Linked DNA regions of Lepisosteus oculatus. The protein of the gene in region 3 interacts with the protein of the main gene of each other region in a pairwise test. Links are inferred from orthologs where the notes say so. Each region holds a gene or a part of one and is shown on either strand. Other genes may lie near its edges.

What was found.
Region 1: the proteins of cep70 (region 3) and sh2d4a interact in binary tests that used the Homo sapiens proteins (3 or more experiments, as listed by UniProt). The link is inferred for Lepisosteus oculatus from reciprocal best matches to the Homo sapiens genes CEP70 and SH2D4A.
Region 2: the proteins of cep70 (region 3) and hspd1 interact in binary tests that used the Homo sapiens proteins (3 or more experiments, as listed by UniProt). The two-hybrid records come from large-scale screens. The link is inferred for Lepisosteus oculatus from reciprocal best matches to the Homo sapiens genes CEP70 and HSPD1.
Region 4: the proteins of cep70 (region 3) and histone acetyltransferase KAT5 interact in binary tests that used the Homo sapiens proteins (3 or more experiments, as listed by UniProt). The link is inferred for Lepisosteus oculatus from reciprocal best matches to the Homo sapiens genes CEP70 and KAT5.

What each region holds. Positions count from the first base shown.
Region 1 is NC_090698.1:26,585,983-26,593,603, reverse strand, and holds the start of sh2d4a (SH2 domain-containing protein 4A), read left to right. Parts: upstream 1-4,608; 5' UTR 4,609-4,842; intron 4,843-6,695; 5' UTR 6,696-6,761; intron 6,762-7,621. UniProt on the Homo sapiens protein: Inhibits estrogen-induced cell proliferation by competing with PLCG for binding to ESR1, blocking the effect of estrogen on PLCG and repressing estrogen-induced proliferation. May play a role in T-cell development and function.
Region 2 is NC_090707.1:7,078,071-7,085,973, reverse strand, and holds the start of hspd1 (60 kDa heat shock protein, mitochondrial), read left to right. Parts: upstream 1-4,884; 5' UTR 4,885-5,019; intron 5,020-6,014; exon of another isoform or gene 6,015-6,033; intron 6,034-6,737; 5' UTR 6,738-6,740; coding exon 6,741-6,914; intron 6,915-7,401; coding exon 7,402-7,737; intron 7,738-7,843; coding exon 7,844-7,903. Other genes in the region: hspe1 (10 kDa heat shock protein, mitochondrial), read right to left, coding at 442-492, 584-673, 1,412-1,567, 4,184-4,186. UniProt on the Homo sapiens protein: Chaperonin implicated in mitochondrial protein import and macromolecular assembly. Together with Hsp10, facilitates the correct folding of imported proteins.
Region 3 is NC_090707.1:6,583,101-6,590,236, reverse strand, and holds the start of cep70 (centrosomal protein of 70 kDa), read left to right. Parts: upstream 1-4,136; 5' UTR 4,137-4,176; coding exon of another isoform or gene 4,177-4,195; intron 4,196-4,610; coding exon of another isoform or gene 4,611-4,633; exon of another isoform or gene 4,634-4,662; coding exon of another isoform or gene 4,663-4,686; intron 4,687-4,734; 5' UTR 4,735-4,950; coding exon 4,951-5,013; intron 5,014-5,406; coding exon 5,407-5,506; intron 5,507-6,352; coding exon 6,353-6,476; intron 6,477-7,136.
Region 4 is NC_090713.1:22,611,303-22,618,686, reverse strand, and holds the start of histone acetyltransferase KAT5, read right to left. Parts: upstream 3,012-7,384; 5' UTR 2,957-3,011; coding exon 2,939-2,956; intron 2,820-2,938; coding exon 2,753-2,819; intron 2,099-2,752; coding exon 2,030-2,098; intron 1,587-2,029; coding exon 1,450-1,586; intron 871-1,449; coding exon 802-870; intron 1-801. Other genes in the region: kinesin light chain 2, read right to left, coding at 6,553-6,636, 7,000-7,057. UniProt on the Homo sapiens protein: Catalytic subunit of the NuA4 histone acetyltransferase complex, a multiprotein complex involved in transcriptional activation of select genes principally by acetylation of nucleosomal histones H2A and H4.

The DNA.
Region 1 (7,621 bases), on a different chromosome or scaffold from region 3:
CCTTTAAGTATAGAATGGCTACCTGCCTGCATTACACTACATCAGCACGTCCTGATCAACTGATCATTGTGCGGTGGCTAAGGATCTGCACCTGTGGCTGGAAGGTTGCCGGTTCATATCCTATAGCTAGCAGAGGAATCCTACTCTGTTGGGCCCCTGAGCAAGGCCCTTAACCCCAACTGCTCCAGGGGTGCTGTATAAATGGCTGACCCTTTGCTCTGACCTTTCTCTCTCTTTCTGTGTCTCATGGAGTTGAGGTATTATATTCCTAATATAAGAAATTGTATATGGCTGATAAAGTGATCTTATCTTATCTTATCAAGCCCAGGGACCTCACAGGCTGCCCTCCTGGCAGACTAATCCAGAAGGACAACACACATCCTCTGGCTCCTTAGCTAACAATGGTTTTCTTGTAAGATAAGGTGACACATGTGCTATGAATGCTGTATTTACCCCAGAACTTTAGGACTAGAATGAAGGAAGGGAGTGTCTGGGTGATCGTGGGGAGAAACCAGACATAACAAGTGGGGACTACATGAGGAACAGTCCCTCCTTCCTTTGTCCTTTCTGTTTGCTGTCTGTTCCCCTGTTCCACGACTGGTTCAGCCTGCTCAGGGTCCCCACACAATCCAATGTGTCGACGCTGATCATGTTGTAATTGATGGGTGTCGAGCCAAACAGTGTGTCGTTCAATTGGAATGTTGTTTGTCACTGGAGACCCTGAATAACGAGAGGGGAGCAGAGACAAAGGAGAAAAACACAACAAACCCTGACAGAAATACTGGCTGTTACATAAAGTAAACATACCCCCCAACCCACTGTCGTACAACCACTTTTTTTGTCACCCCATGACACCTACACATTGTTGAAATCAGAGATCACTGAATTCATGCTGAAAGTTTGCTCTCCCTGCAAACATTCAATGACATTCTATTCAGCTGTCATACTTCTGCATTTCAGTACAAATTACATTTTTGCATCTAACGCACAAAAACGGTTTTTAAGTGAACAGAACAAACACTCGTATTACTTTTTCAATACAGTTTAGCAATGCTTAAAGGCCATTTACATTTTAGGTATCCTGAGAGTTAACGTGATTTAAACTAATCAAAGTACGAAACCATAACATAGACTGTACTGAGCCGCATTAAAAATGGTTGAGATTTTAAAAATGCATTACAAAAACTGGTTACAAAACTAATATGCTATGCTTTGAATGCCTCTCAGTTTAGTTTGTCTGGATACGTCCAACTGTGAAGGGTAAATAAATCTATTGTTAACTGTGGTAAAGGAGATTATACAGGATATTTATTTAACAATTGCAGGAAGCAATCATCTTTAATTTACCTTGGTGATGAATGAACTATCTTCGTCAGGCCGGTATCTGAGTATGGTATACTATGAGCGCCATCTTGTGTTCAAAAGTAGTTAATATTTTTCCTTGAAGATCTGTTCATTTTTGATATTATTCCTCTGGAACCTAAGATCCATGAGGGGTGGCATGGTGGCGCAGTGGTGGCACTGGGGCCCTGGGTTCAATTCATGGGGTGCTATCTGCATGGAGTTTTTGTGTTCTGCTTGTGTTCGAATGAGTTTGTCCTGGGTTTTCTACCACAGTGCAAAGACATACTGGTATGTTAATTGGCCTCTGGGAAAAGTGTTCTTGATGTGAGTGTGTACATGTTTGTGTTTGTGTCTGTCTGCTCTGTGATAGACTGGTTCTGTAGATGGATGAAGATCTGTGATACCAGTGAAAGGTAGTTAGGTGGGAGTTGGGGTAGCTGCTGAAGCAGTCAAAGCCATATTATGTGGGGTAGATGTTTGTAGATGTTTGACTGTAATACATAAATAATTCCTTAGTGAACACTATACTGAGAAATTAGGAACCACACAGACTGCAGGACAGCGCTCCCTACTGGTCCCACTAACATGTCTTCCAGCAGCACCTTAATTTTTTTAGCTTAGACTGTAATTTAGGGGTTTATACAGTATGTAGAACCTTGTTGAGGAATTGGTGGGGAATGGTATTTTTAATTTTTTTTAAGTGCTGTGTCATATCAAATAAAAAACGTGGTCTTGAGAACATTTGTGTATGAGTGTATTTACTATGGTTATTGAAAAATCAAAACAAATTAAAGAATAGAGCCTGTAAAAACAAGGTAGCATTGCTTTTGTCTTAATATGCCAGCAGCCATATCATGCTGTAACTCACATCTAGCAACCCACTGAAGCTCAGCAGGTGTGATCCTGGTCAGAACTTGGACGGGAGACCTCCTGGGACAAAATAAGGTTTCTGCAGGAAGTGTTAGTGGGGCCAGCAGGAGGTTCTCACCCTCCTGTCTGTGTGGGTCCAAATGCCCCAGTATAGTGATGGGATGCTATACTGTAAAAAAGACTGTGCAGAAAGAGGGGAGAGTGAGTTGCTCTCTAAACAGGAAAGGAAAGACAAGTCTTGCAGGAGACTGGGTTAACACTGGAAAACACCAGTCTGTGTTTTCTTTGGATGATCAAGTGTCAGGGCTAGAACCGTCCGCTGTGGAATGTTCTACTGCACAGAAGCCAGCAAACAACGTTCTACCACTCGAGACAGAGACTGCCACACAGCCACCAGCTCCACAGCAACAGCCCTCTACAACTGAAGGAACCAGACTTGAAACTGAATCTTGGCTTCGTGCACCTCCACCTGGCTTCCACGATATGCCTGAGACTGAAGAGCCCATTAAGAGGAGGGCAACTGCTCTGAGGCTACAGCAGGCACAGTGTTTTTTTTGCCCCAGACCAATGATGATATGCCTCTCCAAGAATGCACGTCTGTCTGCAGTACCAACCATCTGCCTGTCTCACCTCCTACACCTGTTGGCATCAGAGACACAGACAGCACACAGAGTCGCTCTGTGTCCTCAGACAAGCTCTGCCAGATATTGGGGAGCCCGGATGTCATTTCTGAGCCACCTGTCTCACAGCAGCAGGAACGCAGGCAGGACACGAAACACATCTTGTCTCCAGATAACAATGGCCTCACTACCGTTTATCACTTCTCAGCTACAAGATTGGACAGTGTCAACTCATCTGGGAGCTCACCTGGAGCTAGTGGGCACTGATTTGGGCCAGAGGAGCATCACTCCCGGTAACCCAGTGCTGCTTAAGAAAACCAGGCCAGCTCTTGTGGTGGCCAGCTAGCTGCCTGTGGTGATTTGGCTTCACATGAGGGTACCCTTTAGGGAACCTGGTTGAAAAGGGCCAACCAGTGACCGGCTTGATACCCCAGAAAGAAGGAAACTGGACTGATCGTGGGTTCTGATTTTTCTCATTCCGATTACAACATGTTTATAATTGGTACTTTTGTTATGTTTTAACAAGTTTTGTATTGTTGTAACATTTTTATGTCCTAACGTTTTTGTTTGTTTTGCATGTAGTGTGATACACTATAGTTCTGTTGTTGTTTTGTTTCACTTTATAGGAACTGTTTTAGTTATTTGGTTATTATTCAATATCCTTTTAACATGTGTTTTCTTGTTTTAACAACTTTAATAACAACTAATAACTTTGCTGTCATTTAAGTTGCCTCACTGTTACAAAGTTCAATATTTAGTGGAGGACATGGCAAATAATTGTTTTGCTTTTATTACTAGATTATTTTAGTTTTACCTAACCTGATATGGTTCTGTTTACAATGTTTTTGTGTTTAGAATCATAAACATGGTTAGTTTACACAGAGCATAGCTTGTGTCTCAGGTCTGCTAGTTTAGTGTTGCTATTTAAATGTTAGTACACAACTGCAGCTTTAATGATAATATGTTCGTGAAGAGACTCGGGTTTGTAGCAGCATTGCTTTCCATTCACTGTTGACAAGGAACACATGCCCAGCATTGTCTAGGTTAAAGGTAACTTTGACTGTTTTCCTTTACTTACAGCTTTACCTGGGACCAAATCTAAATCCTTTTATGTCTTAGTCACTTCAAACAAAAGTCACTTTGAAGTAGAGGAAAAGTAACAGATTTTCTCACTTTTATATTAATGTTTAACAACAATATCTGCACCTTTGTTGCAACTTAAAGGCTGTAAGGCACTAGTACCAACTGCCTCCTGCCAGGCATGCAGTACCTGATCTAATAGTTAGAAATTGTGTGCTTAGTACATATGTAGGGTTAAATTTCATGGGAGTCTGTGATACTATGTGTACACAACACAAACACATGTTCACACAAACATACAAAAGTGAAAGTGGGAAAATCTGTGAATTACTAGCCTCGGATTTCAAAAACCCTACAGTTATCATTTTTACACCTATATCTGCATCTCGGCACAGGAAACATAATATATTACTCTGTAAATGTTAGCTTTGAAGAGACATTCTGAATGCATCATTTGTGTTGAGAGTTAACCTTTGTAATGTGTACGTCCCAAAAGAAAATACTACAATTACAAAACTACTGCTGTACTTTTGATCATTCTTAATAGGTAGCTATTAAATACTGTTTATACGCAATTTTGTATTTAAAAAAATCAATTAAATTTGCAATCTGTTCATGTAACAGATCAATAAGAAGGCGGGGGGAAACCATAAACAGAGATTTAGCTGCAGCCTTTCGTAATACCTGGAACAGAGGTGTTCTTGGGTTGAAGCTTACTTTCGGCATTGGGCGTTGGATGTGACGTGTACGACAAAACAAACGGACAAAGAAAGATAAAACGAAATTGCTTCATGGTATATGGCGTACAGAAATGTCACGAGACGTTGAAGACACATTGCCGGAAAGTTAAAAGTCAGGTTTCTTGGTGACGTGAAGTTATCTTTAAAAGGGAGAAAAGTGCAAGGGACGGGAGTGGTTTGAACTCATGGTAAGGTTTTTCTTTTCATCTCGTTTTATTTTCTTAGTATGGAGCAGCGTTGTGTGACATTTATCAATGTTTTTAGAGTAGTTACAATTTTTCATGGGGAGTTCTTTCTGTCTCTGAAAATGTCTTTTTTGTAAACCATTTTTAGTAAATGAAAGTACTTTCCATTTCCAACGAAAATCTCAATGCAAAGCAATGAATGAATTCATTTCAATGCAAAGAAAAACCAACGAGATTATTCTAATCTTTTTCACTGTGTCGGGCTATCACTAAATTGCATAAATCCTTTATATTGACGTATCCTTTACTGCACAACAGACTTCTGGCTATGCGGGCAAACGTAATTTGTTGATTATTCGAGTATTTTGGGCGTATCGATTCTAACTAGCATTGTAGTCTAAGTAGTTTGGCATAGGAAGGATTGTTTCTTATACATTAAGAAAAAAGGCTTCTAACACAATATTTGAGTAATATATTTATTTCCTTTCTGCTAAAGCTGTTTTGAGAGTCCTGGACCGTTTTGGCAAAGAAGCAAGCATTTGCCATTAATTCTTTACTCCAACGTCGTGTCCTCACAGCATGACCAAAAGAAACGCATAAAAGTTACTTTACTATTGAATGCGCAAACATTAAAATCTCATAATAATGATTGAAATGAAAGCCAGTGATTGAACACGGGATTCTTTCAGACTTGTGACGTAGCCTATTGTGTTCAGATTTGTTGTGTTTGTGTGTTATTGGTAGTGTCTCGAAGCCCAATTGTATGTTCAAAGGTTTTTTTAGCCCATGCAGTTGGATACGTCGTATTTCAACGTGTATTTTTTAGATTTTTTTAAATTCAAATAAAATTTTCCACGGGATTATCTTTATCTTATTTTAGCTTTTAAATATTTGCACGGCTAGATTTCCACATGGGGTTAACCCATTCAGCACTTCCTTGTTGTACTTCGTTTATATTTTGGGGATCAAATCATTTTAAAGCGAAATGCAGTCTTTGCCTAAATGCACAGCAGACATAAGGGGAAGCTTAGGCCCACTTTTTAAATCTTTTTGCTACAAAGAAATTAGTTTCCAGCGTTCTAAAATTGTAAGTGTTAAAGATGGAAATCTAGGCATCTAGTTAAATAAAAAGCAAACAAAATGTGAATTTACAGAACCAGCTTGAGGTCACAGGAAGTGTGGTAACTCTTAAAGAGTTCACATAAAGCTGTTAGTATTATATTAAATTCTGTTACATGATCTCCAAATAATTTTATATTATTTAACTGTTTTCCATAGAAAATGCATCCTGGAGCGCACATAATGTGCCCTTGTAATATCTGGAGTCAGGGCAACCAATATAATTATACAGTCTTTGAGCAGAATCTACATTTTAAATGAAGAAACAACAGAAGGGTACCAATCTACTCGCACAGCTTGAACGACTGTAACAGTTTCTTGCTTTCATTATCTAGTTGCTGAATGGACTTTCATGTCAAGGTCATATTCTACCAGGAAAAACAAATGTATTTTGCCTCTGAATGGAGAGGTATAAGCATGGTTATGTTTTGAAATCATTTAAAATTTCCCATTGGAATGGAAATATTTGGAGAATGACTCATTAAATCATTTATGAAGTCTTGACAGGCATAGTTATTTCATATTATTTTAATATTGGTTAATACACTGTATTGGTTTTTCCCTGTTGTTTAATTGTTTCATAATGAATATGGGCTAGTGGAGCCAATTGTGAAGCAGTTTAAGAAGCTCAATTTGTGCACTTTTGCATTTGTATTTGTAGTATTCAATATTAAATTACCATAACCTCAACCTGCTTTGATTTTAGTTCAGCTTTCCATGCTTGTTTTGTCTTTTAGGGAAATACCTAGAATGTAAATATTTGGCCTGGCTGACATCCATTCATGAGATACAACTCATCAAAGGTGATTCTTTTTTAACCCCAGAAGTTTTCCTTGACTTCAAAGTTTTTACAGTTGCGATCAAAACTGTTTACAGCACTTGGACTTTTTCACATTTTGATTTGTTACCATGTGGAATCATAATGTATTTAACTGGGATCTTTTGCCATTGACACTAAACACTGTATGTCAAAGTGAAACCCAAATTCTGTTGATCCTCCTAAATTAATGATAAAAATAAAACGGAAAATAACTGATTGCATAAGTATTCACCTCCCTTAAGTCAATATTTGAGAGAGGCACATTTGGCAGAAATCACAGCCGGGAGTCTTCTTGGATTAAATCTCCACCATCTTTCCACCCCTGGACATCAATTTCTGTCAATTTTTCTTTGCAAGTCTCCCAAGTCTCTGGTCTGTTGCAGACTGCAGAAGGTTTTTTTTCTGTGCTTTGCTACTTCCACTCTGCGTCATGTCTTCACAAGTATTCCAAACACTAACACAGTGAAGCTGCCACCACCATGCTTCACAGCAGGGAAAACGCTTCTCAGGATGATGTGTGGTGTTACGCTTGTGCCAAACATTGTGTTAAGTGTTAAGACTAAAGGGGTCAATTGTGGTCTTTTCAGACCGTAGAATCTTCTTTCTCTTGGTCATTGCATAATTCAGTTGAGAATTGTACTTTATAGATCCCCTCCTGTGTGGATTAAGTTGAATGCAATGTGTTAACTACCTTATTCGATGACACCTACAATCTCTAATTATTTTGTGGCAACTGGGTTTTGCAGAGAGAGAGAGGTTTAACTGGTTGTATTGCATTTATTTAGAAGGCAGCTTATCTCTTATTTGGCCCCTGTAGGCATTCAAATTTTAATACTTAGTTGA
Region 2 (7,903 bases), about 490 kb from region 3:
GCTACGTTCACTGGCAGTCCTAGTGATTACAGTTATAAACACCTGTACTCTGCCCACGGTGCTCACTCCTCCAGGAAACCGGAGCTATTTTGTCCCCGACAGTGTGGCCCTACTCCTGAGCGGGCCTGTGCAGACGTATCCCTGCAACATCGACGAAGGCTTTGAAAACAACAGACCTCAAGAATCGACAACTGTGCATGAAACACAAGCACAGGGTCTTGGTGCAGGATCGCGAGAGTTAACCAAGCAACAACGACACGTTGAGGTCTCAACGACTGCAGACAACACAGCCGGGTCCAGCTGTTCTGCTTTATTATGGTAACAAAACACAATTCGTATTTACATTCGAGTGAAAGAGAAAACAAACAATACAAATACGGGGCAGCCTTCTTCCTCTCTGCTGGAATGGGTGCGGGGGCTGGGGGAGAGGGAGAGGGAGTTTCAGTCCACGTACTTCCCCAGGATATCTCCATCACGGAACAGGAAGTAATCCTGAAAACAGAAACACACATTCCAGTGAGCGCGCCGCCCAGAGACTCGGCCCCTGACCTCCTCCCAGGACTGCAGCTGCGCGGGGACACACCTTGTCATCCAGCGTCACTTTCGTACCCCCGTACTCGGGCAGCAGGACCTTCTCCCCCACCTTGACGCCGACCGGCTGCAGCTGACCACTCTGTTGGCCAGAGAGAGAGAGAGAGACGGACAGACGCTGACTTTATGTTCGCTCGGTGTCCACACGGCCTGCTGCGGACTCCTCTCGGGATTAAAATCAGAAAGGCAGGGGAGTATCGGCATCTCCAGCCCACTCTGTTGCACTGATGCACAGGCAGATAGACCGCTTTAGAGCTTAACACACGAGGGCATCCAGCCTGCAGTCCCTCAGGCTACCTTCAGATCTCCGCCCATCTCCAAAAGCTCAAGACCCAGCTGTAGTTCACCTCTTCAAGCTGTCCAAGATTTAAAGAGGCCTAGGAAACCGGTCATCTAGTACACCTCAAGAACTGTACCCCCCCCAATCTCGTCTATTAGAACCCAGCTGCGACACATTTTAACACTGCGACAGGTGCCCTGTAACAGAGGGGGTGGCGTCAGTGGTGCACAACAGCGCGAGCTGCAGCATGCCTCTTCCCCACATCCCATAATGCCCTGGGGCCCCTCCTGTAGACAAGTGCCTAATGGGAATTAGGAATGTACATAAAAAAACACGCTTAAAAAAATGTGAGTTTACTCAACTGGTTGTAAACACAAAATACCTAACAATTTGATTAAAAGGTCATCCACTATGTCATTTTTCCTCAGTCTTTTTCTTTTGACATTTTTTTTAAAAAAAGCAGTTTATCCTTCTGAAGCGAAGCAGCGCTACTTTCATGCGTGCGGACCGGGACCGCCCCAGCAGGACCCCCGAAATCACCTTGTTGACACTCCCGGGCCCCACCGCCACCACGGTGGCCTGCAGCACCTTCCCCTGCGACTTCTCGGGCAGCATGATCCCGCCCTTGGAGACGGTCTCCGCGGCCAAGCGCTCCACCAGCACGCGGTCAAACATCGGGAGGAACTTCCTGAACGCCTGAGGGTCCGAGAGAGAGGGGGGGAGAGATGAGACTAGCGCCATTCCCAGAAATAACACATCCAATCGCAGAATTCCCACTCCCACAGGAATCAGAAAAGGGAAGAAACTCAAGAGAGCTGCAACACAGTGTGTGATCTGATGACATTGAGCCTGTCTCTCAATAATAATAATAATAATAATAATAATAATAATAATAATACAGTGTGTGATCTCCTGTCCCAGCCTGAGGAGCAGACACTGTCTCTCAATATTATTATTATTATTATTATTATTATTGAGAGACAGGCTCACTGTCTGTTCCTCAGGCTTGGACAGATCACTCAGATCACTCACTGTATTAATAATAATAATAAAAATAATTATACAGTGTGTGATCTCCAGTTCCAGCCTGAGGAACAGACAGTGAGCCCGTCTCTCAATAATAATAATAATAATAATAATAATAATAATAAATAGTGTGTGATCTCCTGTCCCAGCCTGAGGAACAGACAGTGAGCCTGTCTCTCAATAAAGTTTTATATGTTTAATGCAAATGTCCAATAATTAATGTCTGCAAATGGTATGTTAATTGTATCTGGTTTGGCAACACTAATTCACTGGTCACACCACTGATGCCCTGCGACTCCGAGAGAGAAGAGAGGCAGGAGAGAGAGCATCCTCGTCCCGAGTGGGAAAGCAACGAGCGCAGGCCACTCTGACCCCAAGGGCGGAAGTCCTGCTGTCCTGCCACCAGGGGGCAGAGCACACTCCCTCTCCCCCAGAGGCCCAGGGCATGGAGGGAAGTCCTGCACGTGTTCACGCCTTTACTTCACTGCGAGCGGTACATCTGGGTGGCGAAGCAGAGAGATGCCCAGGAGGAGGAGCAGAAACATCGAGTTGCTCAGCTACTCCTCCGAAGGTGCCGACGCAGAGGTGTGAACAACAGGTTAAAAACGAGGATGAAACCACGATCTGGGCATCACGGGTGCCGAGACCCGCGACAACAACAGCTTTGTCACTCGCGATGAGTCGGCAGAAGGAGCCGAGGAATTCGGGAGCAAAGACAGGGGAAGGAGCCGGCTGAGGAATGTCGCAGAGCGCCCGAGGTCTCGCAGCTCAGACAGATAAAGCGGCGTGTGATCAGGGATCCACGAGGTCCTGTCCCTGGCCCGCGCGGAGGAGGAGGAGGAGGAGGAGGGCTGTGCGCGCGACCTTGGATCAAGGTCACTTCAAGGGCACGGACAACAGCGGAGCAGGGGGGAGGGGCGCCCCGTCTGCCAACAGCCTGTGAGCTCTGTAGGGAATTAATTCCCAACGCGTGGTCAAGGCAGCCAGACAGGAAGCATCGTTAATGATTGCCGTCAGCAGAGCACAGGGCAGGGAACATTGATCCTGCCAGAGACACGGGCCTCCCCCTCCTCTCCTGCACACTAGCACCTCATCCCAGAAGTGCAATGGGGTCACCAAGGCGACATGCACCTTCAGATGCAAATTGCACCACTGGAACTGGCAAGTCGTGTTTTAGTAAAAATCACAGGTTTTAAAAATGTCCACCCAGAAAGTTCTGCCCCTCTCCGGGGGTGTTAAGACTTAGCCCAGCCTCAGACTTTCTGTGCTGCGTGAGAGCACATCTGGTTAACTAATTACTTGATTGAAGAGATCATCGTAACTCCCTGTAACTACTGGAGACTGGGAAGGCTTCAATTAAAGGCCTAGATGTGCGACTATCTCGGAAAGAGCAAGGAGGTCACTTCCGAGACGAGCGGGACCTCCAAAACGCCGAGTTCACGTTTCATATCTGCCCCGGATGTGATTGAAGATAAACCGGAGCCACAGTTTGTTCTTCCGTGTAGCAACTTGCGTGATTACAAGGGCACGCGTGCCGAGCCGGCTGACACACGTACGGCAGCTATCAAGAAGACTTTTAAACACACGCATTTACAAAGAATGAACAAAAAAAAACGTATTTATTCACAAAATTAAGTTCCCTTTTTTAAAAATTGTGTTCTTAAAGCCATCTTTGAGAGCAACACTTCTATTTAGACGTCTGTCGATGGTCTACGGGGTTCACACATGCATGCGTTTTACAGGGACGTAACAACTAAACGCCTCCGCCGAGGAAGCAGAGGGCGGACTTTAAAGGCCGGATTCTGTCAGGTCACCTAGGAAGGAACACGGAAAATAATCCAAAAGGAAAACGTTAATGCCAAAGGCAAGACAGCCCGCCGGGTTGCTCACTAGCACCGGTCTGAGGGCCCCGACCTTGACCCCCGGGTCTCTGTCGGTTCGGTAAAGCCCGAATTCCGTCTCCGGTGTCGCCGGAGTCCCCCGCCCGCCCGCCCGCCGGCCCAGTCCGTGCGGCTGCAGGTGTTAAAAACCTGCGACCGCGCCGATCCTATCGTCAGTATGGAGCAGTATCCCCACCTCTGCGCCCAGTGAGAGCCCGCTTTATACCAAGTGTCCAAGGGACCTGCTTTTACAGCGCGCTCACCAGCGTGCTGCTCAGCTTACACGGAGTAGAAAGTACTAGAGAAGGCGCATCGGAGCTTCTGATCTGGATATCCAGACATTTTAAAATTGCTCCATTGCAGGCCGCCCTACGGCACGGCCTGCGTACGGAGCAGAGAGTCTTACCATGCCGACGTGTCTCTATGAACGTTTCTACACACAGCAGCGTGGTTCCACCGCGACCCTCCTGTGTCCTGCGCTCGGGGCTTCTCCACGCGTGAGACTTGGCTTTCTCTCACACACCAGAATCGCCGCCCCACGTGAAGAAATACGGGCGCCCGACAGCGCATGCGCGCCCCCCCCGAGCCGGTTCCTCCCCCTGTCCCGGGTTCCAGAGCCTTCTGGAACCTTCCCGACACGATCCCCCGCGCGCCCTGCAGCCAGCGCGCAAACCGACAGCCGCCCCCGCCTCCTGTGAGTGCATACAGCGGAATTACTGCTTCATACACGGGTGCAATGTGTTTCAAAGCGATGCATTTGGCAGCAGAGCGTGCATCTCCGCCCCCCCCGCCATTGCATCAAAATTACACAACATTCACCTTCGACCCCTCGAACTTTTTTTCCTCCTCCAATGGCGTCCGAGAAGTTTCTGGAAATCGCCTGCCCCGGAACGAGCATGGAGGTTCCCCCCCCTGGCGCGCTCTATCCCACCTGCGTTTAAAGTTACGTTCCCGGAGCCGTGTAACGCGACGGGCGGGCCCCAATGAGGTGTGTGTGTGTGGGGGGGTCTTCACCGCCACAGTCTTGCGCGCCCCCCCCCAGCGGGGCGAGTGTGTGCAGTTATACAGGTTTCGGGGCGGCCCCCAGCGTTACCCGGATGGAGATGCCCATGTGCGCCGCTCAGAGGCCGGAGAGGAGGCGCTTTTAGGCAGCAGCGCAGCTCGCCGTCTTACTTCTTCTGACAGAGCCCACTGCGCGGCGGTCGTCTGTTCCCTCCTGACCTCATCCCATCCACCCCGACAGTAAGTACCCGGGCTCCCCTTCCTCGCTCGCTCGCCGCTGGAGCACGGTTCCGCACGCCGCTCCTGGGGAGCCTGTTCAGTCTCTGCCGTGACGGAGCGGAGCGCTACAGCTCGGTTCGAGCCGACTGAAGGCGGCGGGCGGGCGTGCGTGCGTGCCTGCTCGCGTGTCTGCAGCGGTGGTTCGCTCGGCTGTGGCCGTGAACCTCCTCATTTCGTGTGGGCCTGCCCTTGGCCGCTTCGGGTGTAACTCGTCCGCTTTTCTGTGCCTATTTGTGTTTTCCACTTTACACCCCGAGGTGAGGGATTGGGGGTGGCTCGTTTGTCCTTCTGTAGTTTTCCGGCTGGACTGGACATGAATGATGAGCGCTTGCATCTGTAACGGACGCTGTGGAGGGGGGAGAGATTCTGCTGTCTGCCCGCTGCTGCGCTGCACATCTCGAATATCGCCCAGCACGGCGTTAAGCGCCTGCCGCGTGAAACGGGCGAGCCGAGCGGTTCTGCGGAACCGTGTAGTGCTGTGAGAGCTCCAGTCTGTTCTCGTCAGCGTCTGACTGAACCTCGCCATCCCAGTCAGAGACGGCTACGTCTCTACTGCTAGAAGGATAATGAACTGCATGTATTCGGAGAAGTCGGGGGGTTTTATGTTGGAATTAACGTTTTCAAAGATTGCGCTTTGTTAAGGAGGTTATTGTACTCTTCTCATTAAGACAGTCAACTTAAAAACACATCACTGGATAGTGATTAGTCGTAAGCTCTGCTACGTCTTGCGCTGTCCAGATAGTAGCTTCCACCGCGAGCAGGGATGTCCTCGTGAGCGGGGGGCGCCGATGAAGCTCAGTTCTAGCGAGCTCCGCGTGCGCCGCTGCGCACCGGCACGCTCTCGACGCAGCCACGGCTTTGACCTTGTGGTGCGTGACCCCCGCACGCACGCACGCGGGCGGAAGGACGGACCTTCATGCCGAAAAGACGCCGTGAAAGATTAGGCGCTGTCACAAGACTGAGGGGTGGTTTGTAGTGCGTTTACTTGAAGTGGATTTGATTGTTGTTGTTTTTTTTTTGGCTTCTTGTCTGTAAACAGTTAGGACCCCCCCCACACGGTCTTTATAAAGAACAGTTCTGCGTTCCGAGCCGCCCTATCCCCCACATCGACTTCTAGCTTTTAAAATTACACCTGCTGAAAGTGTAATTACACAGTAAAATAAGAGGGCGTCGGGTCTGTCCTGGCGCAGGAGGCGCTCAAGGAGTCGTGGTTGAGTAATCTGCGGCCCGCTTCGAGCCTATTACCCCGGTCGTGCATTTACAGTGCATTGGCCTTGTGTGCCTTCACGGTTAAGAGCTCTGATAATCCGGCAGTCGCCACACAGCTGTCTAATCGCCACAGATTCCCTTCTCCCGGCGGTGGGTTTTCGAGGGAAGGCCGTGTCCTTACAGGTACGACCTTGGCCCTGCGTGTCCGGGGTGTTAGTGCTGAAGCAGGCCCCTGCGCCTGCTCAGGCTGTGTTGCCATGGAGACAGGCCGGGCAGGGTGAGCTTGCAGTGCAGCCCCGCGCCGTGGCAGAAGTGGGGTGAGCGTGCGCGTCTCGGGGTACACAGCTGGGGTCTGGAGCCGGAACAGGTCCAGGCCAAGGCGCCCCCCCCCCTGTTGCTCCTTGGAAAGCAAGATCCGCGGGATCGCCGTCTGTCCGCCGCTCAGGCCCGTCTCTGCTGCACCCCTGCAGGAAATGCTGCGCTTGCCCACCGTGATGAGACGGATGCGCCCGGCGTGCCGAGCGCTGGCGCCCCACCTGACGCGCTGCTACGCCAAGGACGTGAAGTTCGGCGCCGACGCCCGCGCCCTCATGCTGCAGGGCGTCGACCTGCTGGCTGACGCCGTCGCCGTCACCATGGGGCCCAAGGTAGGGGTGGGAAGAGGAGAGGGGGCGGGTAGGACACCTGGTGGGAGAGGGGGGGGTAGGACACCTTGTGGGAGAGGAGCAGGGGGGTAGGACACCTGGTGGGGGGTGCAGGGAGAGGAGCAGGGGGTGGGGACACCTGGCAGGAGAGGGGTCGCAAGAGGAGAGGGGGCGGGTAGGACACCTGGTGGGGGAGGAGGGGGGTAGGACACCTTGTGGGGGGGGCAGGGAGAGGAGCAGGGGGTGGGGACACCTGGCAGGAGAGGGGTCGGAAGAGGAGGAGGAGGGGGTGGGACACCTGGTGTGTGTGCGTGTGTGTGTGTGATACGCATTGTTTGGCAGTGACGCGTGTACACGTTTGTGTGCAGCAGGAAATGTGTAGCGGTGGGTTGTTTGTGTATGGATTGTGGGTTTGAAGCATGTTGTGCAGAGATGGATGCCTGAGGCCTGAGATTCTGTCCTGGTTCGAGCGCCTTGTGCCTTCGTGCAGGGTCGCACGGTCATCATCGAGCAGAGCTGGGGGAGCCCCAAGGTCACCAAGGACGGGGTGACGGTGGCCAAAAGCATCGACCTGAAGGACAAGTACAAGAACATCGGCGCCAAGCTGGTGCAGGACGTTGCCAACAACACCAACGAGGAGGCCGGCGACGGCACCACCACCGCCACCGTGCTGGCCCGCGCCATCGCCAAGGAGGGCTTCGACACCATCAGCAAAGGCGCCAACCCCGTGGAGATCCGGCGCGGGGTCATGCTGGCCGTGGACACGGTCATCACCGAGCTCAAGAAGCTCTCCAAGCCCGTCACCACGCCCGAGGAGATCGCCCAGGTAAGGCCTTGCGTGAGGGAAGGGGTGCGCCTCGTTGCCCCCAGGGTAAAAGGGAGGGGTACCCCGCTTGACGGCCCTCTCTCTCTCTTTCCTGGCCTTCTTTCAGGTGGCCACCATCTCTGCCAACGGGGACAGCGAGATCGGCAACATCATCTCCGACGCCATG
Region 3 (7,136 bases):
TTTAAACACAATCGTCAATTTTAGTTTTTAATCCTAAAAAGTTTAAAACTCTACTGCTGCATTCTTCCAGGGCAAATTATAATCCTTTTTTTACATAAATGACGTTTCTGTTCGTTAGTTTAGTGGCACAATCAACTGGTTTCAGATGGTTATATTTTTAAAGAAAATGCATTTAATTACAATCCGCGGTTTGAATTCAGAAATTGTTAATCTACACCGCAAAACACTGCCGAGTCACGTCATCTGCCTGCTGTACATACACGGAGGTTTATATGGGGCTGCTAGTGCCGAAGGACGTGATCTTCTATTTGGTAATATTTTTAAAGTTTTTTTGTATCATTTACTCCCGTCTGTCTGATTTCTGTTTTGTGTTGTTACGCAAAATACCGATAAAAGGACACAGATCTGAACAAATTGCCAGATTTAAGAAATGAATCCTACTAACAACTTGACGTGGTTCTCCACGTTTGCAATTTCTACTACTAGTTTCTACAAAGAATAAATTGCATTTACAAGTCTCAAAATCACGATGAAATAGTTTATTGCACCTTACCTGCTGCTTAACGCAGGTATTAAACTGATTCTTGCAACAGACGAGAATACCGTCACTATGGAAACGCAATGCAACCTAGTGTACAGTTAACTGTGCAATTTACACATTAGCGTGTCAAAATCGTGTCGGTAATCTAACATGAATAATACGATTACGCATTATTTCTGTTACCTTTTGTGTCTAAATATGTATGTGAATTCGGTTTAAAATGTTCTATTCACTCTTCACACACACCAAGAAGGCACAAAACAACGCAAACCTCGCAGTGACGTCACTGCAAGGCTTGTAAGATCTCTGCGTTCCTCGCGATATTACGTTAACAAACCTGCCTTTCTTCCTACCCGAATTCCTGAGAGTTATTTCACATATCTATGGTAGCGACACGCGATTGTCCAGACGTCCCGGAAAACTCGCAGTCCCTCAGGATGTAGCCAATCGCAGACGTCCCTCCTCTGAAACCACACCTTCTGCCCCCGCCCAAAAGGGGCGTGTCAATAAACGGATTCGGGTGGGAATAAATGATATTCCGTGGCCCGAGATTTTCTTGAAAGTATTAACATATTATGAACTATATGAGTATCGGTTTCACCAATGTTTCCGATTTCACCATTTATTAGGAAACAGAAACAATTTCACAAAGTTCAGTACCAATGCCATACAGTCACGCACGACTGCATGTCGAGATTAGTTAGTGTTGTGAAAAGGCACTTATCAATTTTTCTATGCATGCATGTGGAAATTTTTTTCCCCAGTACGTATCAATTATATTTTGTTCTAGTTGCTTCTGGAATTGGGAAGCAATTTTCTCCCAACATTTTGGTATTTAATTATTCCCCAAGCCCTGCCTGCCTCAGTGCTGGAAAAGTACTGTTTGTGTCACCAGTGGACCTGCAGAAAGTTAGTTTCCAAATATACAGCATAACTCCCCCATCGAATAAAAGCGGATTTATTAAGAAATAGAAAAAATGACTACATTTAACATTGTTGTGCACCGTTGACACGCAAGAGGAGCAAACAACAGTCTCAGCAGATTGACAAATAACTGTCCCGCACAGAGCGCGCGGGGGCTGCGGTTTGCACACGTGTTTGAGTTCCCTCCTTTGATAGGCCGCTGTAGTCCGTCAATCACATTCCTCTAGCCAATTACCTCTCGGGGTGGAGGGATGGGGCGGGCCATCGCCATTCCGTACTCTCCTATTGGTTGAATTCCAGGGAAGTTTCGCTTTACTTAGCCGCCGCTGTGTATTTCAAACCGTCTCGAGCCCGCATGTAAAAGTAAGATTGCACCCAGAGGGTTGCAGGAACGCAATACAAATATTTCTTAAGATTAAAGGGGGGTATCAAAACACTGTTCCATCATAATAATAGGATATTTATGAAAACAAGATTGCTGCCCAACATACAGGTAAGGTTACGAGCCTTTCAGCTACCCTGCTTTTAACGGCTTCTGACCGCTTTTGTATTTCATTTATCCACGTTTTTAAAACAAGTGTGCGCGACAGCTAGTTTTAAAATGACAACGCACAAGACGCCGCTTGGCCGTGCGAGTACGGGGTGCTGAGGCTGTCCCTCTGGCGCCTACTTCCGCAGCGTCTTGTTTAGCAGTTTCCCCACAAACCTCGGCTGAGAAAGCGTCTTATGTAGCGAGTCTGTTTCTGCGACTAGAGGTTGTTCAGTAATAATGGAGGCTGCACAACCCTCCGTATCTCAAGCCATAAATTGAAATCCATCCCAAATAACCAAGCGATTCACCGAGTAATGCTCGTCAATATCAACGAGTGGCTGTTCAGCCTGCCGTTCTTGCCCGGCTGCCGAAACCAGCGGTGTGAGGGGTCTCGTTCAGGCGGTTCTGGCAGAAACCAGGGTACCGGCTGCAATTACAGGGGTGTGCATCTTGCTCCAGACTCCCAGACAGTCCTCTCCTGTGAAGAAGTGCACTTTCTCTCCGTTCCCACTCGTACCTTCATGCTCATCTCTTCTAGGGCGGCCTTCCCTGCCTGTTTTTAAAGCAGATGCACCCGTGGCGCGAGATGAATTATTAAATTGGTGCAATTAAGTCGTTAGCTAGCAGACGGTTAGGTCATCAAGAGTGGAGTTGGAACAAGGATCTGTAGAAACGTCGGCCACCATAAGAGCAGTATTGGACAGCCTTGACCCAGCTGTCTTTCTCAACCCATTTCGGAGAGGCAGTATTTATAAGAGGGTTTGTAATACCGTTACCAAAACTATATATAATATTCTAAATACGGTTTTATGAATGCAATATATAATTATATTGATCTTAGAGTAGAACAAAATAAAAAAAGAAAGAATTAAAGTAACAGCTGAAGTAAGGGAAATATGCTAAGATTATACCATAATGTAATAGAAGATTCATGTTTGAATTTTATTCACATGCTGTTCTTCATGTGCACTGCATTAAAGCCAGGTGCAAGCTTTATGTATGTTTGGTTCCCAGCCATCCTGGTTTTCTTTCCAGATGAGCTCAACAGCCGATGAATTAGTTGATCTGCTTTCTTGTTTAGACTTGTATCTTGTTTCATAGGTTGGTTTTGCATGTTAGTTACACCCTATGTACTCTGTTTCCAATACTTCAACACACAGAACTTTATGCTGCCTCTTCTTATTTCTGACTAAACAGCTCTAATTTATCGATCACCTGATGATCAACAGACACAGGTGGGAATTACACTATCAGACTCGCCCACAGGTGAGAAGGACACTATCAGACATATACTGGGCATGACATTGCATCAGATATATCCATTGTTGGATTGCCTCTTTATTGAACATCCCCCCAATGGGCGTGGTCACTGTATCAGACACCCCCACAACACCAGTTTTTTCCCTCTGCAGTTCATAACAGTTCAGGCAGCACACCTGAATGATGGCTGTTCTAAAATTCAGAAACAGGCACTGGTTACATTTGACCTTTTCTGATTTGAAAGTAAATTTACAAACATGCCACAAACCAAAAAGTGAAATCAACTAGCCTGTAGAGTGAAGCAAAACCCAAGAAGACTGATGCTCCAGGACCGGGGCTGCAAACCAGTGGCCTAGAAAGCAGGGCAGTTCAGCATGAGGCTCAGTCCAGTCCAGTCCAGTCCAGTCCAGTATACTGCACTCCATGTCAGGTTTCTCTCCAGCCAGCTGTTTAAGGATGTGATTGACAATCATCAGTAAAACAGCTGAGGTGCTGGTTAGTCTGAAGGACTGCAGTGGAGTGGATTGACATTTTCAGTTGAATTTGAAAGATCATGACCTGTATCTGTTCTTGTTGGCTTACATCACCCATTGTGGCAGACGTCTGAAAGAAGGGACATGCTCTTTATCAGCCTTAACTTCACAGTAGGGGTTGACAACCCAGGTCCCAGTGTGCCATGAGTCTGACTGGGTTCCATTTCAAAGTCATTAAGGCCTTAATGACTTCCTTAAGTGTATAAGAAGCCCAGTCAGCTGTATTTTCCAGGTGTTAAGTGAAAGATTACTTTCAAACCTGCAGGAACCTGAAACTGCAGGACCAGCTTTGGGCTGTGTGGGCTCAGTGAAAATAGGTCGTTTTTCATGCTTTGTTTGTATTTGTAGTACCTTGTGAAGAAGACTAGACTCCGTATCCCACAGGCATGGCTCATCAGAGCTCGGGTAAGTTAATAAAAAGGACTGTGTCACCTTGAGAACATTTTTCTCTTCCATACACGTATCTGAAAACCAAAATGTTGTAGCAAAACAACTACACTATAAGGGCATGTAAAATAGTGGACTGCAGTACAAAATGCAGCACTCAATACTATTGTTTACCTGAGGGGACTTCTCTCCATCATTAGAAAGCTGCTGATTCTGTTCCGTGCTGCGAATGCCACACGTTACACTTGCAGACACAGACGTTACAACGTAGACACGCGTGTTGTTCATGCAGACACATACGATCCACACACAGATGCGTACGTGATACACACAGACACACGTTAGCCCATCCTGCCTGCCTTTGGAAGGAGGAAGGATACCACAGCATGCGGAGAAAGTTGTTAAGTTTAAGAATCCTTTCTTTTTCTTACAGGTCAAGAAGTGGACAATGAGCAGGTCAGATATTGGTTTATCCCGTGAATAAAATGAGGGAAGGCAGCAGCTGGACGGTGAGGCTGCTCCTGAGCTGACAGTGCTTGCTCTCTGCTCCCATTCAGAGCTCCTGCCGGGGGGCAGTCACCTGTAACCTGACGCCCGGCCCGGCCGGGTGAGGCTGCAGTAGGAAGGAGGGGAGGGGGGCGGCCGCTGCAGACGCAGACAGAGCACCCCGCCGCGGCTTCAGGAGACAGGGCAGCGGCCGGGGAGTCCTGGAGAGAAAAGAGCTGGGCAGGGGCTTCACAGGGCTGGTCCTGTGAGGCGCGGCGGGTCGGAGGATGAGCGCGTTACAGCAGAAGGACAGGACCTATGTTTATGTGTGGACCTGCAGCCAGTTTCAGGTACAGGACGCGCCCCAAGCACAGCTCCAGGGATTTCCTTAACGTTCCCCTGGGATTGAGCACTGGGAAGCAGTTTCTCCCTTTTCTGTGGATCGAAAGGTCATGCCTTTCAGGGTGTAAGCGGATCCTGTTCCCTTACAATGATGAACTGAAGGGAAACCGGTTTATTTTGTTGTTACCGAGCCTTGCTCCGGGAACGTTTTCACTGTGTGTGGGAGAGCCGTCCTGCTTTCTTCATGGACCCTCGTCATTTAGACCTGCGCTCGGTCTGACCCGATTTCGGATTTCCTGTGTGTGCGTGTGGTAAGAGGTGTCGATGTTGGCGTGCCCACAGCTGCGCGGCTCCCCGTTCTGATTGATTTCCTGAGCGGCTGTTTTCTCCGCACTGTGCAGCAGGAGCAGCTGGAATGGGAGGCAGTGAACCGGATACTCCAGCACCACGGGTTCAAGCCCATTCACTTCGCAGACCCCATGGAAAACAAGAACCTATCAGGTGCGGCACAGTCGTGCGGGTCGATGCAATGTCTGCATCATCCTGCAAAATCGTTAACGGAGCCTCTCGTCATATGGGAATGGGAACTGTTTTAGCAGGTGCATGACTGTTTGGCATAAAATATCGAATGGTTCCGTGCTCATTTGTGTCTTTCGTTTATACATTTCTGGACTGACACAAGGTTTTAAGTATGCTTTTGTTGTTTGATGCTCATGTTCAGATATGTGAACCCAGATTGCTTTATAAATTGATTTCAGATTTGAGGTCACGGAGCCTATACACTAAAGAAGCGAGAAGTGTGAAGCTTCAGAAAGAGGCTGTGTTGTAATTTTGTCTGGCATGTGCGTAGTGCTTACACAGTGCCTGGCTGAAATGCAATAGTATCGAGGCAGAGTTAAAAATGATAATATGTAATACAATTACTTCTGTAGCTTAGTAATGCAGCTCAGTTTTGTAATCACAAAGATCAGTGTATTTTTTATTTTTTGGTATCATTAAGCTCATTCATTGTCTCACGTGGCTCAGCTGTGCTGCTCAGCTGCGATACAAACATGACCGCTATTGTTTGCTTCTGTTATTATTCCACTGTTACTATGGTACCTCAAGGAGCTCCGTGTTTCTAAGGTTTTGCATTGTTTTCTGCACCTGGAGCTTGAATTAACAACCTCCCTGCTCCATCTAGACATCCTAAACCCCCTGTGGCTTCGGAGTCACCTGGCCTTTGCAGGGGTTTACTGTCAAACCCCACCTCTTGTGTTCCAAGAATCCTTCATCTCCATCTCTGTCAATTGCGTGTTGCATGAAGAAGCTATTCTCATGTTTAATTTGACATTTCTTCTCTTTCAGATCTGGTTCTGTTGGAGAAAAGGTCTGCTTCCGAAGTGAGGCTGGCTCTGAAGACACTGTTAAAGGACACCGAGAGGAGACAGGCCTTGATCCAGGAGCTGATTCAGACTAACAATCAGCTGAAGTAATTCCCATTCTCATTTCTCTTTGACTTCAGCGCAGGTTTCCGTTCTGTACCCACATTGGCTGAGAGTGTTTATAATGAGACATCAGCGCCCTCACCCCCAAACACTTGGGGTTTAGTAAAGGAGGACAAAACCTGTATTTGAGTATCTGAATTGGATTCAAATCAAGGGATTCCAGGGGTTAAACTATATCATGACCCAGCGCAGACCTATTTTTAAATCTGTGTCCATTTGTCCTCAACACCACACTATAGAAACGACATACGTGGGTCTGGAGGTGCCAGACATTCTGAAAAGTTAGTTTTTGAAAACCAACATATTGCCAACACCATGAATAAATGAAATCTCTTTGCACTGGGGAAGAAGGAAGCCCATGAAGTAGGACCACAGTTTCAAACGTTACTCTGAAAGCAGACACAGAACTCCCAGCAAAGACTCTGGTCTGTATAAAGGAAGGTGACTGGAGGCTTCTGGGAGTCTTGCCTTTTAAAGGCCTGTGCTTTGAATGCAGGACGGGAATGGCGATTGTATTTTAGCTGTGTGGGGAAAATCCCACTGGATGTCAAGTCCGGTCCCTGAGCCGCTCGGCCTTCGGGCACGGAGGTGAGAGGGTACTTGTTGGAATCCCAGCGAGCACTGGGGCCGGGAGCCGAGTGAGC
Region 4 (7,384 bases), on a different chromosome or scaffold from region 3:
GTCAGTGCTGGGGGTCAGACTGCACTGGGATGTCCAGTGGGGACAGTGCTGGGGGTCACAGTGCAATGGGGTGTCCAGTGGGGACAGTGCTGGGGGTCTCACTGCACTGGGGTGTCCAGTGGGGACAGTGCTGGGGGTCTCACTGCACTGGGGTGTCCAGTGGGGACAGTGCTGGGGGTCACAGTGCAATGGGGTGTCCAGTGGGGACAGTGCTGGGGGTAGAAGTACAGTGTGTATTTATGTGAATGTATTATAAGCAAAAGTACAGTTCAATCACATAACACACACCTGCAGGAAAAGCATTCTAGAGTATTTACACAAAGATTTACATTCAAGAACTGCGTCAGACTCGGACAGACCACAGCTTTCTGGCAGGTCATCTGTCACACAAGGGAGAGACTCGGGTCAGAGATGACAACTGCCAGAATGCAGTGGTCTAGTGTCCAGCAGGTCCAGAGCAGGAGATCGGATCGCATCCGCGTGCCAGAACCCAGCGCCCCTCCCTCCGATCAAACCGGTCCCAATATCCGCGCTGCTCCAAATCCAACTCAGGATTCCCGCGGTCCCAGAAGTTAGAAACCTTGGAGAAGGGTTTGACTGACGTAGCTCGGGCGCGACTGGACCGGTCTATCGGCTTGACCACGGGAAAACCGGATCAGGAAATCCGGACTCCGATTCCGTTCCCGGGTTCTGGCACGAGCGGATCGATTCCGTCTCACGTGGCCCCGCTACCGATCTCCGATCTCCCCTCGCCCCTCGCTCCTCCCTCCCGGTGCCTGCGGAAGACGGGTGAAGGTGTACCGGAATGGGGACAGTTTTGCCTCTGGATGGAGCTGTGACCGTTTGGAGGCTGTGATCTAGACTCTTCCTCTGAATTTGAATAGAAAAGGGTGTTATTGACAGCGAAAGACAGTTCAACCTCCTTCTCTGCGCGCCTGTGGTCCTTACTGCATTTCTGCGGCTGCACTGACCCAGGTGAGCTCAGCGGCGCCGGGTCCGCGGCCCGGAGGCCGGACCCAGGTGAGCTCAGCCACACCCCGGTGCACGGCTGGTTTTGTGCAGTCATAAAAATGCAGTAAAAAAAGAGGGTTCACAACGCTGTAATAATCAAGCAGAAGACCGACATGCACAACATCTAGAAGATCAGCACCAGCACAGGTCTGCAGGAACAGGAAAGAGCATGGGACAGCCCGGCGTCACTTCGGGAGCCATCCCGACAGAGTTCCTTCTTCCCGGGGAGGCTAGAGAAAAAGGCAGCATTGGAGACGATTTCCAGAGGCCGAGCCCAGCCTGGTCCTGGGAGCGAGAGGGAGCCGTGCTGAACCGGTGGTCCTCGGGGGCTGTCCGGTCTGAGGCTCACTGGGGCCGAGCTTCAGGCTCAGAAAGAACGGCGGCGTTGGGGGGGGGGGGTCAGTCGCTCTCCAGCAGCTCGGAGCCGTGAGCTCTTACCACGTCTCTCTCCGGGGAGCTGGGCCGCGAGCCCGGCAGGCCGTTCTTGGTGGGCGTCTTGGCCTCCTTTTTGGGGAACTGGAGCTTCTTCAGGTCCAGCCTGTCGGGCGTCACCCACTCGTCCAGGCGCTTGTTGACTGAGGGGAAAAAGAAAAAGCGATCAGTCCGGACCCAGGAACCAGACACCAGAGCTTTCCCGGTGAACAACGACATCACGTCCAGGGTGCACGGCGGGTTCCCTGACCCCAAAAAGGGATCTGTCTGACCCAGCGGGCTTTTTCAGAACCAACAGGGAAAACGCAAACCAGAAGAAGCTATAGGGAAGAGCATCTCAAACCGAGAACGGGAGGCACTCCTTTACACAAAGCCTGGTGGAGGAGTGGAACAAGCCTGTTGTTGAAACAGGTATTCTGGCTCCTACCAAGAAACAGCTGGATGAGATTCCGAGATCAATTAGTGACTAACTAGAGATTGGCTGATTGGCTCCTCTCGTCTGTGACCAGTCTTGTTATTTCTCAAGAACACAGGGCGTTAACAGTCTGTAGTACATCCAGCAGGCGACGGGCGAAACGGTACTCACAGTCGATGTAGTGAACATAGTAGAGCTTGCGGCTGTTGATCTCCTTCAGGCTCAGGATCTCGGCCAGGGCTGCCAGGAGGACAGAGGCAGAGGTGTCAGCACCCAGCAAGAGCTTCCGCCCACCGCGCCAGGGAGCTGCCCGATCCCAGGCAGGACCCCACGACCCCTCCCCGGACAGGACCCCAGCCCACTCGGGGCTCCAGGCAGGACCCCAACAGCCCACCCTGGACAGGAGCCCCTACAGGGGGACAATTACAGGCAGCAGTTTCCTCACCCAGCATGGCAGGAGTGAAGAGACTAGGACACCCAGAGAAAAGCCATAAGCACATGGGGGGGGGGGGGAGACCGTGCACACTCCACACAGAAGGTGCACCAGCCTGCAACTGAACCCAGGTCCACACAGCTGCGAGGTGGCTCTTCTTGCAACCCACGCCGGAATAAAAAGCATCCAACATAATCAGCCCGCCTCCAGCGGCGGGACAGCAGCGCCGTGCACCGCCCGCACCCGAGAGCGCAGAGGGCGCGTCTACTCCGGTGCACTCAGTGCGAGCTCCCGCAGCGCATTTCTCCAGAGTGCAACATCTACAGCATCGCGTTACAGAGGCAAGCGCGCAGGTTCAGGTTGCATTTCCCGCTGACAGTGTATTAAAATCAGATATAGGAGCGCAAACAATGCTCTAAATGTCAATATTGTATCCGCCATGACAGCTGCCCGTTACTCACGCCACTCGTCCTCGTTCTCCTGGTTTTTCCTCAAAACCGGCAGCCGACAGCCCTCCACGATCTCCATCTGTTAGGAGGAACGGGACAAAGAAGGGTTTACGTTTCTGGAAAGGTAGAAAGAAAAGTCCCGCACACAGTTTTTAATCATAAAAAAATAATCGAGGACCATCACGGTTATTTACTCACATTCGCTGAATCCGCCATCTTGCTCCGCTGAGCACAACAAGGCCCAGGGGCGACGGAAGTACGCAACCGACGTGTCCGCGGCTCAGGCTAATGACGCCATCGCCACTCCAGCCAATCAGCGTCCGAGGAATAGGTGAGGTTCCGGCCCAGAGGCTGGGGCTCGCATTGGACGCCTTGGAGGAAATTATGATATTTAAAAACATAATCAATGGCATCTGATTCCCAATCTTTGAAAATCTAGGTGATCTTGACTTTCTATTGAAGTGGAATTTAATATATGAACATAATTTCTCATCACATACGAACTATGTGTGGAATAACTCAGCAGGGTGAGCCTGGCCAGTACCTGGAGGGGGAGACTCCTGGGAGAGCTGAGGCTGCTGCTGGGAGAGGTGTGAGTGGGACCAGTAGGGGGTGCTCACCCTGCGGTCTGTGTGGGGCCCCAGTACAGGAACGGGGACACTATACTGTAAAAAAGGCACCATCCTTCAGCTGAGACATAAAACCGAGGTCCTGACTCTCTGGTCATTAACAATCCCAGGGTGTTTCTTGAGAACAGTAGGGGTGTTACCCCAGCGTCCTGGCCAGATTTCCCCCTGGTCTTTACCCATCCTAAGATGGAAATGCAACTCCAGTCATAATTTGAAAAATAACAAGGCAAAAACGTAAACTTGTGCTCTGATCTGCAATAACCTGATACAGCACCCTGCCAGAATAAAATGAGCAGCCACGTTATGCCCCTGCCCATGCACACGGAACCAGGGCCCTGCAGTCATTTGCAATTATTAGTTGCAACTCACACCTGACGGAGGCTCCCCGTCCGAAACGTTGCATTTTCTTTCTTCTCTCTTCAGCCTGGAATAAACCTATTATTGTTCCTAATTACTTACAGTAGATAAGTAAGTGACAGTGAAGTGCTTTGGTTTGTGTCCTCTTTGCGTACAATGAAGAGAACGGAGGACCCCCCTGCACACAACAACCCAGTCAGCGCCGCGGCCCCACGGCCCGAGGGTCCTGGGTTCGAGTCCACCTCGTGTACCTTCCCGGTGGAGTTTGCAGGTTCTCCCGCTTTCCCGAGGTGTGCTTCTGCTAGACTCCACCGCCGCCAGCGCCCTCCGGTGGGCAGACAGCTCACAGAAATAAAAGCACGGACACACAGAAGAGCCAGGACTCGGGCGTCGTTTTGGAAAAGTGGATTTTTAATGAATCTTTCATTCGAACGTACATTGTGGCTTGGATATTACAGGCCCTCCACTCACAGTACAATGTATCCCTACATTCCTACCAGTGTAACACAGAAATGATATTCCATTCTCTCGCAGGATCGTCTCTCCAGTCACAGCCTAGATACCCGTCCCCTATAGCACAGGCCACAGGCTCTAGTCCCGTCCAGTCCCCTATAGCACAGGCCACAGGCTCTAGCCCCGTCCAGTCCCCTATAGCACAGGCCACAGGCTCTAGTCCCGTCCCGTCCCCTATAGCACAGGCCACAGGCTCTAGTCCCGTCCCGTCCCCTATAGCACAGGCCACAGGCTCTAGTCCCGTCCCGTCCCCTATAGCACAGGCCACAGGGTCTAGTCCCGTCCCGTCCCCTATAGCCCAGGCCACAGGCTCTAGTCCCGTCCAGTCCCCTATAGCCCAGGCCACAGGCTCTAGTCCAGTCCCGTCCCCTATAGCCCAGGCCACATCATAACGACTCACAGGTCCTCACACACCCTATATCTCTGTCCCCTAAAACTACCTCCTCAAAGTATTCTATTGCCCTGCCCCCCTAAACCTACCCCCACACACACCCTATAGCCCTGCTCTCTAAAACTACTCCCACACCCCCCCGTCTTATGGTGTCCCCACTCCTCCAATCCACCAGTGGCAGCCCCCCAGTAACAGGTCTCCCCAACTTTCTATTCTACCCTGCTGCCAGAAACAGCTCCTTGTGAAACTGGTCATTTGTAGGGTCACATTGCTAATGTGGGGTTCAGACAGTGGGGCAGGAACCAAGTCACAGCAGACCATGCACGTGGAAAGGAAAGTGGGGGTACACAGCATCCCCTTCGTCAACAATGCAATGCGATTGTGCCACCTGAAGGGGTGCACTTCTGGGCCACCAGGGGGCAGCCCGAGTGTGCAGGGGTGCGCGTTGGTGCCAGAGCAGACGAGCCAACAAACAGCAGGATACAGGCGGCAGGCATGAGCCTTGTCCAGTGTCCATCACCGGTGAGTGTCAGCACATAGCACTGACCCCACTGGACACCTCAGGGCAGTGTGACCCCCAGCACTGACCCCACTGGACACCCCAGTGCAGTGTAATCCGCAGCCCTGACCCCACTATACACCTCAGTACAGAGTGTCCCCCAGCCCTGACCCCCCTGGACACCTCGGTACAGTGTGACCCCCAGCACAGTCCCCCCTGGACACCTTGGTCACCATGGTAACAGAGACACTCTCCCATCACCACCTCCCTGATGACAGGGATGCAAGGACACCATCCCTTGTTGCCACGGTGACTAGACATAGCCTCAAGGATAGAAGAATGCTGGTGGGGGGTGTAGGTGATGTAGAGATGATGGAGATACACTGCCCTGCCAGAATAAAATGAGCAGCCACGGCCATACACTGGCACCCTCACAGCAGGGCTCGACCATTAGTTACCATCAGTAAAGAAGTGTAGGGCACCTGGCACCCCCAGCCATCCACACACAGACAGAAGGAAGCAGGACCACCCCCCCTCCCCCCCACACACAAACACCATAGCCAGACCCCGCGCCAGTAGCCCCTAAACTTCACCTGTGCTCTGTGCGAGAGAAGCAGTCAGCCAGCTCTGTAAGCCAATAATTTAGACCCTTATATACAGACACAGAGCCAGAGCGGACAGAGGCCTCCCCACAGAACCCCCCCCCAGCGCTTCTGACCTGACCCCCCAGCGCTTCTGACCTGACCCCCCAGCGCTAACCCCCCCCAACACTTCTGACCTGACCCCCCAGCGCTAACCCCCCCCCCCAACACTTCTGACCTGACCCCCCGGCGCCCCACCCCTTCAGTAAAGATGAATATTCTACACCTAGACGTGCCCTGCGCTAACGTGGCGAGTTACAGAAACAGGCGCTGAGCATTCACGAGAGCTGCATGCCTCGGGCGAGCCGAGAGTCTTGAGAGGAGCGAGGCCGAGCGCGTCCGCCGGGGGGCCGGTCCGCCACACCACGGCAAAGAGGCGCCCCGGGCGTCCCGACTCCCCCCTTCCACCAGAGGGCTCCCGGCGAAGACGCTCGACCTCTCCCTTTGGAAAGCGGCATGCGGGATAATTTCTGTTAATTTAGAGAACAGTTCGTTTATTCACCCCCCCACCCCCCACCCCGATGGCCAGTTCAGCAAACATCTTGAACTGCTGGAGTACGCTACACCCTGTCCCGCCCCGCGATAAAGTAAAGGCTTCTTCGTGGCAAAGGCAAATTCTTATCTCCCCCCCAAAAAATTAAATGCGCTCAGAATTTTGGTTTGCATGTCTCAGGAATTTCCAATCAGGCAGGAAACAGGGCAGCCCCTCCTGGTGCTGAACGGGAGGAGGGGGGGGGTCCTTCCTTAACACCACCCCCCCCCCCCCACTTCGGGGCTCAACTTCATCCAATCAGAGAGCTGCGTCTTGAGAGGTCAACGTTGCTGGCGCTCAGTCCCCTGGATTCCGATAGGCCAGCGTTAGGCTGCTGCAAAATCAGACAATAGCCGTAAGATTATTCGATGGATACTGACAGAGACGGCAGCACAGACGCACTGAACCGAAGTGATACACTGGCACACACACACAGAGACACAGAGTGGCACCCAGCAAAATGCACTGACTCACGCATGGAATGCCACCCTGACGCGCACGCAGACGCGCACGCAGACACGTACACAGACGACAGGCGCACACAGACAACGACTGGCCCCCAAGCCAGCAGGGACACACTGAGTGGCACGCAGACACGCACACACACAGACGCACACAGATGACGACTGGGCCCCAAGCCAGCAGGGACACACTGAGAAGCACGCAGACGTGCCGACCGGCGGCTCCGAGCTCGAACCTGTGCAGGGTCTTCGGCGGTCTTGTTGAGGAAGTTGAGAGAGCTCGCCCGCTTCATCCTGCGGACGAACACAGGGGGGGGGGAGGGCACAGATCTCACAGACTGGCCAGCGGAGCAGAACAGGGCTCTGGAAAGCCACGCTACAGCCCGAGTCCGGTTCTGTAGAGCCCCACACTGTAACCCCAGCCTGAGCCCGGTACTGTAGAGCCCCAAGCTCTAACCCCAGCCCGAGCCCAGTACTGTAACCCCAGCCCGAGCCCGGTACTGTAGAACCCCAAACTCTAACCCCAGCCCGGTACTGTAACCCCAGCCCGAGTCCGGTTCTGTAGAGCCCCAAACTGTAACCCCAGTCCGAGCCCGGTACTGTAACCCCAGCCTGAGCCCG